Astyanax mexicanus: one gene and its partner. The protein of the gene in region 1 interacts with the protein of each later gene in a pairwise test. Links are inferred from orthologs where the notes say so. Each region holds a gene or a part of one and is shown in the gene's direction. Other genes may lie near its edges.

Region 1 (7,806 bases):
AGTAAACAAAACTGTAATTCTTAAAAAAAAATAATAATAAATTCAAGTCAAACAAGCGCTGGTTGTTAATCTGCACAGATTTCTCTCCTGAAAACTGTTTATTTGGATGAGTAAAGATCTAAGATTTCCAGATTTCCACTAAGGCTGGGTGCAGCAGCTTTAGCGTTAGCCATGGTTAGCGCTTGTAAATGCCTCCTGACAGCGGTACACTGAGGAACCCTGATTGTTCTGGTAAGATGATATTAGCTATCGGTTTGTCCCATGTAGTTTGTATTAACACAGTAAACATGCAGGCTACAGTTTGATATACTCACCTTTGAACGGTGAAAGGGCTAACTCTTAGCGCTTAGGTTAGTGGCTAATGCTAATTCTGCTCCAGCAGTGCTAGTCGGGGTTTGCAACAGGCTACATGCTGATAATACTCACCTCTGAACGGCGAAAGAGATAGCACTTAGCACCTTATAGTGCGAAAAATATTTTATGTTGCACCCATTGCTAACACAGCTTGACATGCCTTGTCAAAAGAATAGGACACGCCTACCACCATTAAGCTGTGAAGCCTGGCCAAACTGATGCTCATGACATGGAAGAAAGAGAGAATGAGAGTGTCCCAGTACTTTTGTCCATCTATAGAGTGTATTAAAAGGTGCAAGGGGGGGTTGAATGCATTCAGCGACAAGAATATTAGTGAGGACAGGATGTTGGATGATCACCACCTGCTCCACCTCATCGTCAACTCCAAAACTCATCCCAAAAATACCACACAACAGATCCACTGCTCCACAGCTCAATGCTGGGGTTCAGATATGTCTCTCTAGCCCGCACTTGGCATTAGACACGGTGCCAACAGGATCATGTTTATCTTCGTCCTTATGTATTGGCAGTACTTCTCTACAGGGACTGTTTTAGCAATTGGTGCAACTTAAATGACAGGGGTTGGACAATGAAACTGAAACACCTGTCACTTTAGTGAGGGTGGTTTCATGGCTAAACTGGAGCAGCCTGGTGGCCAATCTATACTTTGCACATTGTAGCAGTAAGAGCAGAGTGTAAAGGTTCAATTAGCAGGGTAAGAGCACAGTTTTGCTCATTATGGGTGATATACCAGAGTTCAAAAGAGGACAAATTGTTGGTGCACGTCTTGCTGGCGTATCTGTGGCCAAGACAGCAAGTCTTTGTGATGTATCATGAGCCACGGTATCCAGGGTAATGTCAGCATACCACCAAGAAGGACCAACCACATCCAACAGGATTAACTGTGGATGCTGTAAGAGGAAGCTGTCTGAAAGGGATGTTCGGGTGTTAACCAGGATTGTTCCAAAAAACATAAAACCACGGCTGCTCAATTCACGGCAGAATTCAATGTGCACCTCAACTCCTGTTTCCACCAGAACTGTCCGTCGCCACAATAAATTATTGTGCTCTAAAACCAGGTGTTTCAGTTTCATTGTCCAACAATGTACAATGTACATTAGAAAAGGTGTCAATGAACCTACTGGACATATGCAGTACCAGTCAAAAGTTTGGACAAACCTTAAATTCAGTGTTTTTTCATTATTTTAAAATGTTATGCATTGTTGATTAAAACTAAAGTCATCCAAATGAGCAGAATCCCAGATTTTGTTTTATATTTTAGATTGTTTCACAGCTTTGCAAATCTTAGTATTTTCTCACCTGGAATTCAGGCTTTCAGTTAACAGCTGTGCTGAACTCGTAAAGAGTTAATTACTTGAATTTCTTGTCTCTTAGTAATGTGTTTGAGAGCATCAGTTGTGAAGTTGCGAAGAGGTAGAGTTGGTGTACAGTGAATAGCTCTATTAGAGTAATATTCTAATCCAAATTATGGCAAAAACTTCTTAACTAAGTAAAGAAAAAATACTTTAAGACAAGGTCAGTCAATCCAGCAAAAATCCAGAACTTTAAAGGAACTTCAAGTGCAGTTAAAAAGATCGTCTTAAATGTTCAGATAAAACTGGCCAGTGAAGGAAAGGAAGATCAGAGTTTCCTCTGTTGTACAGGATTAGTTTAATCAGAGTTACCAGCCTCAGAAACCACAAGTTACCAACCACCTCAATGCTTTAAAGATTATTTTGGTTTGTTTAACACTTTTAAGATACTTTTAATGTGTTCCTTCATAGCCTGGATGAATTAATTATTTGTTTTAATGTAGAAAAAAAATAAAATTGAAAAATTGATTGAGAAGTTGTGTCCAAACCTTTGAGTGATACTGTATGCTTTTAAAAATGTGTAGTATCTATTTAATGCCATCTCAAATCACAGAACAGGCAGTTAAAATTCAGTCAAATTTCACGTTTTTGTTTCAATTTTGCAATTAGATGGTTTGAGCTCTGTGGTTGTTAGATTCTGCTGTAGTGCAGAAAGATGCAACCCACTGCAACTAAATGTAACCCACTGCAAAAGTGTAAATTCATTTAGTGTTCATCTACAGCAAGAAACGGATCTATTTTACTATTATATACTCACTTCTTGTACTTGTGCAGACAGGTGCAGCCCATTCCGTCTCCCGAGTTTGATCCATCTCTCCATTAATCTTTTAGACTCTGGAGATAAACTGTTGGGTTGTCTTTCCTATAAATAAAGGAAATAAATACACACACAGACTGTTTTAGTCATTATATTAACTCTTCATACAAACTGCTGTGCTATCACTGTACACCCTGCCCTCCTCAGAGAATAGAGCTGAGCTTTTGTCAGGAAGCCAACCATGCTCCTCTCGCTGGAGTTACTGAGGTCAGATATTTCTCTGAGAGTGGAAACATTTCCAGCCCTTACAAACCCCAGTGACATTTGTTGGGCTGTTCATGAGAACTCAATTAAAAGGGCAGTAAATACCCAGGAGAGAGAATGCGATCTCATATCAAAGCACAGGGAAGCAGAGGGCATCTCATAACATAAACCACACACACACACAAAACGCTTCTGTTCTTATAGCAGCAGAGCTAACAGAGCATGAGACACACAGTATGTGTGTTTAGCTGTAGCTCTGCCAAGGTTATAGAGAGCTGTTAGATTTTATGCGTTATAAAACAGCAACAAACTATAAACTGCCTAAATACACCAATGCATGAAATGTACAGAAAGAAGTGAGAGAAGAAGAAAGAGTTGTTGGAATTAAATATAACTTTATATGTGCAAATATAATAATTATGTGTATGTAAGTGAAAACAATAGAAGAGTGAAAGGATAACGTATTTTTCACACTATAATGCGCACTTAAAATCCTTTAATTTAGAAAAAAAACTGACAGTATGCATTATGTATGAATTTTACCAGTCAGGTATTAAGCAGCAGTAAAGCCACTCTACTGAAGTGCAGCATTATACAGGAGTTTCAGTTTATTCCTCCAGCACTGAGGCTAAAGAAGTATTAGCATTAGCAGCTAACCATGCTAAATGCTAGCTCTTTCATCGTTCAGAGGTGAGTATCATCGTTCTGTAGTCTGCGCGTTTACCGTGTTAAAACAAGCTACGTGGGACGAACCGCTAGCTAATATCGCCCTGGCTTACCGGAAAACAGGTTTCCTCAGTGGCTAGCGCTAGTGGTTAGCTGCTAATGCTAATGCTGCTGCACACAGCCTTAAGAGGAAATCTGGAAATCTAAGCGTACTGTAAATAAATGAAAGTGCTTTACTCACCCAAATAAACCGTTTTCAGAAAAGAAACACAGTGCATGTTTGACCTTAAAATATATATTTTTAAAGAATTACAGTTTTGTTTACCTAAAGCTCCACTAGGTAGGATTGAGATTTTGTGCTCGTGGGCTCCCCCTACAGTTGTAGAGTGTAATAAATGTATCAGTCGGCTTAGTTTTACTGGCTTTCACAGACATATTCGGTCTCTTTCCAGGTTCTGTCAGAGTGTTTGTATGTTAGTTTGTAAAGAATGAACCAGTAGTCCTTGTAGAACTGTTAGAACTAAAGGTCTGAAAGCAGGTTGCAGTTCTCGCGAGCGTTGGTCGCGGCCGCCTCAGAAAACTTACAGAGTCTGGTTTGAGCTCAGAGAAGCTCCGGCACAGACACAAGAGCACCGCTATTCCTCCTATTACACCTCAATGCAGCGCTGCAGTGAGTTTCAAGCTGTAATTTTACTTCTTTAAAAATATAAAAAAATCAAGGAAATCCTACCTAGTGCTGCTTTAACTAAGCTAAGCTTTTGCTGGGTGGCGAGACCTGCTGAATTAGAAGAAAAACATGGCGACACCTTTGTTCCTTACTAGTGTCACATAATGCACCTTATAATCCGGTGCACCTTATAGTGCGAAAAAAACGGTATGTTTATTGGGGAAAACAATACAATGTGAACTGAAATGACACTATAGTACCCTGTTGGGCATCCGAAATAAATCTTTAGATCCTGAACAGTAGTAGGCTGCAGAAGCTGGCATCCCAGGTGGTCCAATAAATGCTTGGTTATCTATCTAAATACCATGCTTATCTGCTTTCCTATTGAATGTTTAAAAACTCTCATAAGGGCTGTATGGAACATAACAGATCTTTATACTGCATGTTAAACTCTCTGGATTCACCTGAAGGTTTATGATGAACCTCTGGAACACATCTGCCCTCATGCTCATCCCCATGTTGAACCCAAGTGAACCCCAGAGACACAGTTGGATTGTTCATAACAAGGTAATTAAAAGGGCAGTAAATTCCCTGGAGACTCACTTCAGCGTGTCTGCTCTTACCTGCAGGGCTACAAGCCTCTGGAACACGTCTGCTCTCATGCTCATCTCCACATCAAACTCCGACAGGCGCTTGTCAGCCTCAGTGCTTGCAGATCGCACCTCTTTGCACGGGGACACGTACTGCGGGAAGTCCAGCACATGGCGGGAAGCTGCAGACGCATCACTGAAGAAGGTTAGAACTATAATATACTACAATTCCACCATAATATAAATACTAAATAATAAATAATATAAATAGCACACTGTTGGGAGCTTCTAGCCTGGACACAAGATGAGATACGGTTGGATATAGGGGTTTAGAGGTATAGAGATTTCCCAACAGATGTTGCAGCTGGGCCTGTAGATCCTGCTCGGCAATCTCGTAGGTTGCTGAAGCTGGGATTCAATCTGCTGTTATAAATGCCTTGATTGGTTTACATTACATTATATTATAATTCGCGGACGCTTTTGTCCGAAGCGACTTGCAAATATTGATGTACATTTTTGAGATTAGAAGTAGTTAGTTTGTTAGAGGTGTTAGGAGAGTAGGTGCTCTTTGAAGAGCTCTGTCTTTAGGAGTTTCTTAAAGATAGCGAAAAATGCCCCTGCTCTGGTAGTAGAAGGGTAGAAGGTAGTCTGTTCCACCATTAGGGAACTATGTTTATCAGTATGGAGAAATATACTGTATTTTACGCACTATAAGGTGCACCATTTTCCACACTAGTAAGGAACAGGGGTGTCGCCATGTTTCACTTCTAATGGGCAAGCTGAACTGTAACTAATTCTTAAAAAAAAAAAAATCTTTTTAAAGTCAGACGAGCGCTGGATGTTAATCTACACAGATTTCACTCCTAAAAAAACTCTTTTTGGGTGAGTAAAGAACTTAAGTTCATTAATGGATAATTGGCAGCTAACGGCTAGCGCTAGCTATGGCTAATGGCTAATGCCGCTCGTCAGCGCTACACTGAGGAACCCTGATTGTCCTGGTAAGCCATGTATTTTAAGAACAGTTCTGTTTACACTAGTTAAAAGTAAAAATCCAACTGCCTGGACAGCTCTGCTGCGACTCAGCCAACAAAACCCCGGGGTGGATTTTTACTTTCTGGACCTTGAGTACCCACCTCAGTGTAAAGAACTAGGTTTACATAGGATCTCGGGTGGATTTGGCCAGGGCTCTATCAGCTAGCGATTTGTGCGACACAGTTTGTTTTTAACATGTTAAACACGCCGACTACAGTCTGATGTACTCACCTCTGAACGGTTAAAGAGCCAGCGCTGCGCTTATACTGCTCCAGCCTTGGTGCTGGAGAAACTTCAATGAAGCTCTTTTGTCTTTAATAACACTGTACTTCAGCAGAGTGGCTTTACTGCTGCTTACAACCTTACTGGTAGAATTTATACATAAAGTGCACCGGATTATATGGCGCATTGTCAATTTTGGGGGAAATTAAATTATTTTAGATAGATAGATACTTTATTGATCCCAGAGGGGAAATTTTGGAATAATTTCTTCTTAACCTTTTTGAGAGGTTTAGAATTTTACACACCTGGATTAGCTGAAGCAGCTCCAGCTCCCCAGATACCTATCTGGGACATTTGAAGGTCCATCAAGGGCCACCATCAGTCTTTCAAACTGACCTCAACATGCACTATGTAGGGTCAGCTTGTGACCAGGCTAAATTTGGCCTCTTCCATTAGGAGAGCCCAAATTTAAGTGTGCCTTATAGCGCGAAAGATATTTGTATATTGTATACTGTACAGCTCGACCAAATAGTGATTTTAATCTGTATCGACTCACCAGCGTAATCCAGTTTAGCATCTGCCAGGATTTGCAGAGTGTTGTCAGCACACACTTTACCAATCTCCACCGAACCAACCGAGTCGTAGGCTTGCTTTATCCGCTGGATCAGCCTCTCCGTCCTGTGTTTGATCTGCTCTGGGCTCAGATCCCATCTCAGATCGTTCCTGTTGTCAGCAGAGTTTGAACAGTTCCTGGATGAAACTTCCAATTCGTTCAGAAGGGTCATCCTGACTCTGGAGCTGCAGCGGAAAACTCTTTGGAGGAGGAGAAAAGAAATAGGAACAAGTGCAAGTAATGATAAAATGTCCTGCTTATTATATTAATGCCATAAAAAAAATCACAGACATCTGAGTATCTAATTTTAACAATCCAGGTCCACCTTGACCCTGAGTCTGTCTGGACTTATTCAACCCAATTACACTCAAACTGATTTCAACTCCACTGAGCGCAGCCCCCTAAACAGCCCTGGCTCTAAGTAGACCTGAAGCAAACCTGCCGAATCCAGCCGTGAGACGACAGAAGAGACGTCTTCAGATATTTTTAACCCTTAGACAAACAGATTGTAAACTCCTGAGGGCAGAAAGCCGAGCTCCTCGCAGCTGCACACGTACGAAGCCTGCTCACCTTCTCCTTTACCCTGAAAGCATGGCGAGGGGAACCTGATCCCTCCTTCCGAAACCTACAACGACCCACACATGGCTGTTAGATTATCGAGAGTTCATTTCAGAGGGCTGAGTTCGGCTTTGTATTCACAGCTTCCGATCCGTCTGGCCTCTCATTCACAGCTTCTGATTCACACCAGACACCAGAGCTGACCTGAGGGCATGCCCATAAAATGCCAATCACTCTTAAAGGTGCCAAAGAAGGCATTTATTGAGTGCTTTAAGTTGTTCTCTGGTGTATAAATAAATAAATAAGCAAGTCTGTGACTTTAGAGGCAGGGCTGAGCAATACTTCATCTTATTTTTTTATCATATAATAATGGATAAATTGCATTAGTAGCAGCAGATTCTTAAACATCATTTAAATACAGGAATTATTTTTATTCAACATGTGCTGCGCTTTATACAATTAAACTTAACTAAATATCCTCTCTGTAAAAAAAAGAGCAGCGTGTGAATACAGCATGATCAGTGTGAATTTTAGACATTGATGAAATATACAACAATATACTCACACCATATATTGTAATAACAAATTTATCGCAATACAAAGAATTAGTGTCTTATTGTCCAGGTCAGTGCAGTGTTCTATAGGAAGCTAAAACAAAAGATCTCTGGTGTTTTTTCATTTTAGCAAAACTTACAAAAAAAAAAATTCAA
Region 2 (6,924 bases), on another chromosome or scaffold:
TAGTTATATGAAGTGGTAAAGCTGGAGACAAACAAGCAACAGAGCAGTGTTGCATAAAGGCTCTTCGCTGAACCCAAACTGCGGTTTAGTTTAATAGATTTTCCAAAGCAGCCTTGGTCGGTTGCCATGGATAAGATGAGTCCTCCTCCAGCTAAAGGGAGTTCCCATGTGCATCTGAAATGTGAATCAGGTGGGCGTACCACTGGGGTCTGAATCTGTGGTTCCATATTTTTCCATTCACTCCATATGGAATGTAGCAAACTCAGTGGAGGAGGTGGGCAGTGATGACTGCAGATGCTAAAATTAGCCTAATGGCTTCATGAATGGAGACCGAATGAGATAAACTCATATGCACATGCCTTATACATGTTGCAAATGACAAATAGACCAGAAAATAATTACTTTCTGTGACATTGTTGTGGGATTCTAGTAATATAAAAACTGAGACAAACAATTAGACGCTAATGAAACACCAACATGTAATAGACCATGACCTCATACCTTCGTAATTATATTGGCTCTGTTTTGTCACTTGAGTGTCTAGTCTCTCCTAAGTGTTCTGTCATCATGCTGGCAGACTTTTTATAAACAGAGATTCCAATAAAAGTGGGACACGTTTACTGAAGTTACTAAACCTCTTTAATCTAAGAGTAAAATTAGTGCTGTTCCAACACTACAGTGTGTCACCATGCCCTCCATACAGTACACATACAGTTTTACTCTTACAAAAAGTTTTTTAAAAAAAGAGCTCATTAAAGTAAATCTCCTGAAGATCCGTATTTGATACCCTAATAAATCTTCCAGCACGTGGTTACAATTCGATAAAAGGGAGAAGAGCTGAATAAATATATTCATAAGCTATATATAATAAAAAAAAACTACCTATATTGCTTGTGTCAGCACCCTGGTTGCTGCGTATAATATGGCAATTGGACCATATTGCTTGTGTCAACACTGTGATTGTCAATTATAATATGTTAATTGGACTGTATAGCTTGATTGCTGATTATAATACAGCAATCGGTCTGCACCACTTGTGCCAATACCCGGCTGCTGAGTATAATACAGCAATCTATCAGAGGAGCTTGTCTCAAACAACGGTTCCTGTGTATAATACAACTGTTGGCTCAAGAAGCTTGTGCCAAAACCCCGGTTGTTGTGCATAATACGATGAGTGCCTCTTTTTACAACTCGCTGGATGCTGTGTATAAACTGCAGCCCTTGACTTGACTACCTGGTTTATCTTTTGGGCAAATCTGGTACCTGATACCTGAAAGTTAGTGCTTTTACTCCTGCATGCTTGTGGTTTCAAGCGAGCTGAGTAGGGACTAAACTGTGATATATTAAAAAAATATGTGTGCTGATTTGGCCAGAGAGAACATTCACTCTAAACTGCGCAATGCAGATATCTAGCAGCACAAAATTTCCAAGCAACATTAGCAATCACATTTGTTTTTATCTGTCTCGCAATGGCAGTTTGTAAAATTATGCTGTTATCTTTAGAAAAGGATAAAAATATATATTTGGATTGGTGGCTGACATAATTATACATTGAGAGTTGCGAAAAACATTGCAGGGGGAGGTGTGTTAAAGGAAAATTAACCAGAAACCAGGTACCAAAAAGCAAAAAAGTAGATAACCACCACATGATAGTCCAGTAGATAACCACCACATGATGTAACTTCAATGTATACTGTTCTACAGTGCATAGCAAAATCTAACTAGTATATATGGCACAGGAAAAAAAAAAACATGTTGGTTTTCTAATAACTCAAAAGTGTATGAATCTTAAAAAGCTGTGTGAACATTTAAGACATTCAATTTAAGGAGATTTAAGATTTAAAGAAACCATCACATCACGTAAATGTTCTAAAATATTTTAAAGTTGATTTATAAAACTGTTAGGACTGTTAAAGGAAGCTTTTTGGTAATGTTTATGGTACAATCCTTAAAATATTGATGAAAAATCAATTCCAAATTAGTATCTTTCATTAAACAATGAAAAATAATAGCTTAAAAAGTCTTTATTTTAATGTAATGTTTCCTTTATACATTTTATCTTCTTTCTGCATCTTCAGGTACAGACATATCGAGTCATATGAGGCATGTTGATATCATCGTATCATAGCCGGCTGGTGTAAATGTGAAACACAGCCGCTCTCCCTCTTTTATATTCCTCCTTTTACTCTCGTCTCTCTGTCGCCAGACGCTCAGTCATCTGTAGAACTTGGGGCATGCAGCTCAGTCCGTGAGCATGCCCCATGGAATGCTGGATCTGTAGTTCCAAATATGGCAGTGTGATGTGTCATTTTCACCAGAGGGGCCCACTGGTGAATTTTGGCTTTGACTGATGTTCTTGATTAGGCCACATAAGAAGAAAGGATTTTGGTTGTGTTTCCTTTCAGGTCCTCTTCTCATTAGGGGTTCCGGGTTCATGCCTCTAATGAGCAAGCCAAGGATGAGACATTGGAAAACTCAACCAGAGCCAAAAAAAGAAGAGTCAAAGGGAGAAGCCATCCTCCTATTGTCAGAAACAGATAACACAAGAGGAGCAGGTGGAGTTAAGATAAGTATTATTCTATAAATGTCACAGACAGATTAATATGGAAATAACCAGTTGGTCAATTGCTAATTTTAGAAGCATATTAGAGGTTATTTAAAAAAATAGAGTTTAAATGAATGATATTTGTAAGATCTGTGCCCTCTTTAATGTGTTTAAGAGCATCAGTTGTAAAGTTGTGAAGAGGCAAACAGTTGGTATACAGTGAATGATGCTATTTAAGTAATGTTCCAATCCATATTATGGCAGGAACTACTCAACTAAGAAAACAAAAAATCCTTTAAAAAATATTCCAAGAACTCCAAAAGTACCCTCAAGTGCAGTCGCAAAGACTATCAAAAACATTATGATGAAACTGGCCCTCATCAGGACAGCCCCAGGAAGGTAAGACCAAGAGTTACCTCTGTTTTACAGGATAAGTTAACATCATGCCAGAAAAGAGCACCTAAATGGTTCACAGAGTATTTTGGTTCGTTTAACACTTTTAAGTTACTAAATGATTCCTCATGTGTTCCTTCATAGTCTGAATGACTTCAGTATTCATTTACAATGTTGGAAAAAGAAGGTGTGTCCAAACCTTTAACTGGTACTGTATAAACAAATGTAAAGTGTAATAAAAAATAAAATAATAAAAATATATTAGTAGTAATAAAAAATAAAAATTAAAGAATGTGTAAAAATAAACATATTTAAAATAATTGTACAATTTCTATATGAATTTGGCAATGGTCAGTGCCTTTTTAAACAAGTTATGTATGATATAGTTTGATGTGGTTTAAGTAGTCAACTCAGAAAGTATGAGTGGTGTATGCATCACTACATAAACAAAAAATATCCAAACCAACAGCACCCTATGGACAGAGTAGACCTAGATCATTAATATCCCCCACTTTGTTTAGACAGAGCATTTCATTGTTATTATAAAACTCTGCATTTTTATTAAAACCAGACCCATCTATTTTCACTAGTCTCGCACTGGGGCACTGAGGCTATATTAGTGTGTAGTGTAACACAGTGCGTGGGTGAGTGAGTGGGTTTGTAATTTAATTAGCAAACACTCTCAGAGCGTTCACTGAGTCTAAACTGCTGCCAAATCCTGTCAAAGTCAGCAGCGGAGCTCCCTGGGGGGAACAGCATGACTCGGTTTAGTTGAGTCTGTTGAAGAAGAGAGAAAATCGTGTTTGAGTGTGAGTGTGTGTGTGTGTGTGTGTGTGTGTGTGTGTGTCTGTGTGAAACAGAGCGCAGGAGTAGGGGTGGCTCAGGCTGGAAAAGCAGACAGAGATGACTTCATAACTTCCGTTCCGCATTTAGGGGGAGGGGTTCTGGGTCCTGAGTTCTTTAAAAAGAGAAGAGAGGCAATTGCTCGTTCAGTCCATGCTGGATAGGCACAAGGAGAAGGCACATCTACAAGCTTAGATCCACTGAGACTACTACTTCCAGACTTTCAGGTATGGGTTATGGTTTGCTTGCACTTTTTGGACAAAAGTTGTTTTTTTTAGGCTTGATTTTCATTGTGTAGAAAATGTTATATGGGGATAATTGTGTTGTCAAACTTGTAGAGTAAAATCTTTTCTTGTATTTTTTATTTTTGAACTTTGTCTTGTAGTTTTATATTCAAGTCACCTTAAAATTAAAAATCCAAATTTAGGCTACAGATCAAGGACTTATGTTTTAGAGCTAGGGGTACTGTATTGGCTTTGTCAAGAGATTACCTCCACTAAAATTTCTTCAAAAAGTATTGTGACAATAGTTGACGCAGTTGTTGTTGACTCCATGTAGACTTTCCATATAAAAAGCCACTTGAGTTTAAGGCTATTTAACTTGCCATGTTAAAATATGCCAGTGTATTGCAACTGATTTTATAATATAGATATATAATAATGTACAAAATCTTGGTTTTACAAAGCTTGGTAATTGTCGGAATAGGTCACGTAGCTAGGTGTGTTCATTTTAGCGGATTCGTGAATAGACCTGCAGAGAGATGGAAAGGTGACTCAAGGTAAGCATTTAGGAACAGCAGCACTGAATTTACATTGTGGGTGTTTAAGTACATAGAGAAGAATACGTGCCTTTCAGACACACTTATGAGCTCCTTCAGGTCTGTCTGAGTGTGATGGCTACTGGCGTCAACCACTTTTGGTTGTGAGGGAGTTTAATAGCTTAAAACGGTGATTGTAGCAGATGCCAAGGACAGGATTAAAGGACAGGAAGCGCCACATTAGATATGGGTGAATTATGCTGTTGATTCCAGTACAGCTTAAGGCACTAAATATAGTGTAGTAGTACCACATGTTCATTCATTCATTCATTTACTCATTGTGGTTCATTTATTCATGAATTAACTGATTAATTCAGCATGTTACTCAAACAGTATGTCTAGATTTCATATTCTTATCCATTCTCTCCTTATGCAGAATGCAGACACTCTGTGTACTGATGACCCTTGCCTTTTATGGGTCAGCGATGGGCACCTTCCTGCAGAAGCAGCAGACGGATTTTGGACTGCGGCTGTTCTCAGAAGCTGCTCACTCCCATCAAGATGAAAACTTTGCCATGTCACCCTACGGCATCTCCTCCGTGATGGGAATGGTCCAGCTGGGAGCTTATGGCAGCACTCTAAAGACACTCAAAGAGCACATGGGCTATTCTCTGCAAGGTAAGAATGGAGGGAAAATTGTTTTTATGCACCAAATAAATGGATTTTCCCTGATTCCAATCCAAGAATTATATAGAAACCTATAATTTCTGTACTTTCTCCAGATCGTGGAATGCCACGACAACAGAGGCTTCTTCACAGAGACCTGTCCAGTGAACACGGAGTGGAGGTGGCTAGTGGCGTCATGGTGGACAGAAAGCTGATGTTGGAGAAGCCCTTCCGACGCAGCCTTACAAAAGCATTTCAGAGTGTCCCTCACCAGGTGGACTTTAGCAAGCCAAAGACTGCCCAGCAGGTCATCAACGCCTGGACGTCAGACAGAACCGGAGGTGTGTGTGTGCTTTTTTTTTCCTTTTGTGTGAGACTGTGTATGTGTTTGTGCAATTATAAATGATAATGAATTTAGATAATTTTTTTATAATGTGTTTTTTGATGTTATTTGTCAATTGTAATTAAATTGAAACCAGCCTTTCATTTTTCAGAGTGTGATGATTAACTCTACCTTATTAGAATCTTTTGTTTGTCTTGTTTTTATGATTAAATGGTTCCGTTTGAAAGATTATGTCAGAGTACACTGTGTACATGTGGAGATCTCACGTGCTACTGAACAAGTCCTGAACTCTGCCCTCTCTCTTCTCTCAGGCATGATTCCAAACTTCCTGCCGTCCGGACTTCTGAGTCAGCAGACTCGCTTGGTGCTGTTAAACGCGCTTCACTTTCACGGCCTCTGGATGACACCCTTCGACCCCAGCCTGACCATGGAGATGATGTTCCATGGTCCTAATGGTAGCACACTGCCAGTGCCAATGATGAGAACCACCAATAAATTTAACTACGGTGAGAATGTAATGGAATTAGTGTAATGTAATGTTTTGGGTGTGACCAATTAAATTGGCTTATTTTAAGGTTTCATGAATTTACTTGCAGAATTCCTGTTGATCCTTATAATGCTGTTTATTTTTTTTCATAATGAAACTTAAATTCTAATTTAGTCAGAAAATCTTTGTTTATCAAAACAATTGCAGTGTAATTTTTTTGGCCAAAAACATTATTTAAGCTAATATTTTATATCAGTCCAGCCTTAGTAATGATTATTGGATGAATGAATGAATGAATGATTAAGAAATACATTGATATATAAGCTCTAATATTTATACAGCTATTGCCATTGTTTTAAATATTGCCTGTCTCATCCTCCAGGTGAGTTTGTGACGAAGGAAGGTGTTGATTACGATGTTATTGAGGTACCCTATGAAGGAGACTCAATGAGCATGCTCCTGGTGTCTTCATTCGAAAAGGACATGCCGCTGTCTGCCCTCATCAAAGAGCTGAGTGGCAGCAAGGTCCAGGAGTGGAGAAAGAACATAAAGAAGGTCAACCGCCAGCTGGTGCTGCCCAGGTAAAGAGAATAAAACCTTTATTTTACTGACATTTACTATTTTTTGGATTCTGATTGTTAATTCTGATTATTTAGAGTCTAATACAAGTTTGCGTCAATGTTATGTCCAGGTTTTCCATTGACACAGAAGTCGATTTGAAGTCAACACTGAGCAAACTGGGGCTTGGAGACATCTTCAGCCAGTCCAAGGCAGATTTCTCACGCATTACTAGTAAGTATATGCAAGTACACATATTTTATGTCTATAAAGACCTCTGGAGTTGTTGAGAGTGAATGGAATAAAGTATTGTTTTAAAGTAATGTAAGTTT

The links.
Region 2: the proteins of sgtb (region 1) and serpine1 interact in binary tests that used the Homo sapiens proteins (3 or more experiments, as listed by UniProt). The two-hybrid records come from large-scale screens. The link is inferred for Astyanax mexicanus from reciprocal best matches to the Homo sapiens genes SGTB and SERPINE1.

The regions. Positions count from the first base shown.
Region 1 is NC_064427.1:22,893,128-22,900,933, reverse strand, and holds the start of sgtb (small glutamine-rich tetratricopeptide repeat-containing protein beta), read left to right. Parts: upstream 1-4,853; 5' UTR 4,854-4,876; intron 4,877-6,481; coding exon of another isoform or gene 6,482-6,738; intron 6,739-7,806. Other genes in the region: nln (neurolysin, mitochondrial), read right to left, coding at 2,485-2,589, 4,705-4,853, 6,482-6,738. UniProt on the Homo sapiens protein: Co-chaperone that binds directly to HSC70 and HSP70 and regulates their ATPase activity.
Region 2 is NC_064415.1:25,930,201-25,937,124, reverse strand, and holds the start of serpine1 (plasminogen activator inhibitor 1), read left to right. Parts: upstream 1-3,902; 5' UTR 3,903-4,008; intron 4,009-4,974; 5' UTR 4,975-4,975; coding exon 4,976-5,216; intron 5,217-5,320; coding exon 5,321-5,545; intron 5,546-5,858; coding exon 5,859-6,053; intron 6,054-6,416; coding exon 6,417-6,615; intron 6,616-6,725; coding exon 6,726-6,826; intron 6,827-6,924. UniProt on the Homo sapiens protein: Serine protease inhibitor. Inhibits TMPRSS7. Is a primary inhibitor of tissue-type plasminogen activator (PLAT) and urokinase-type plasminogen activator (PLAU).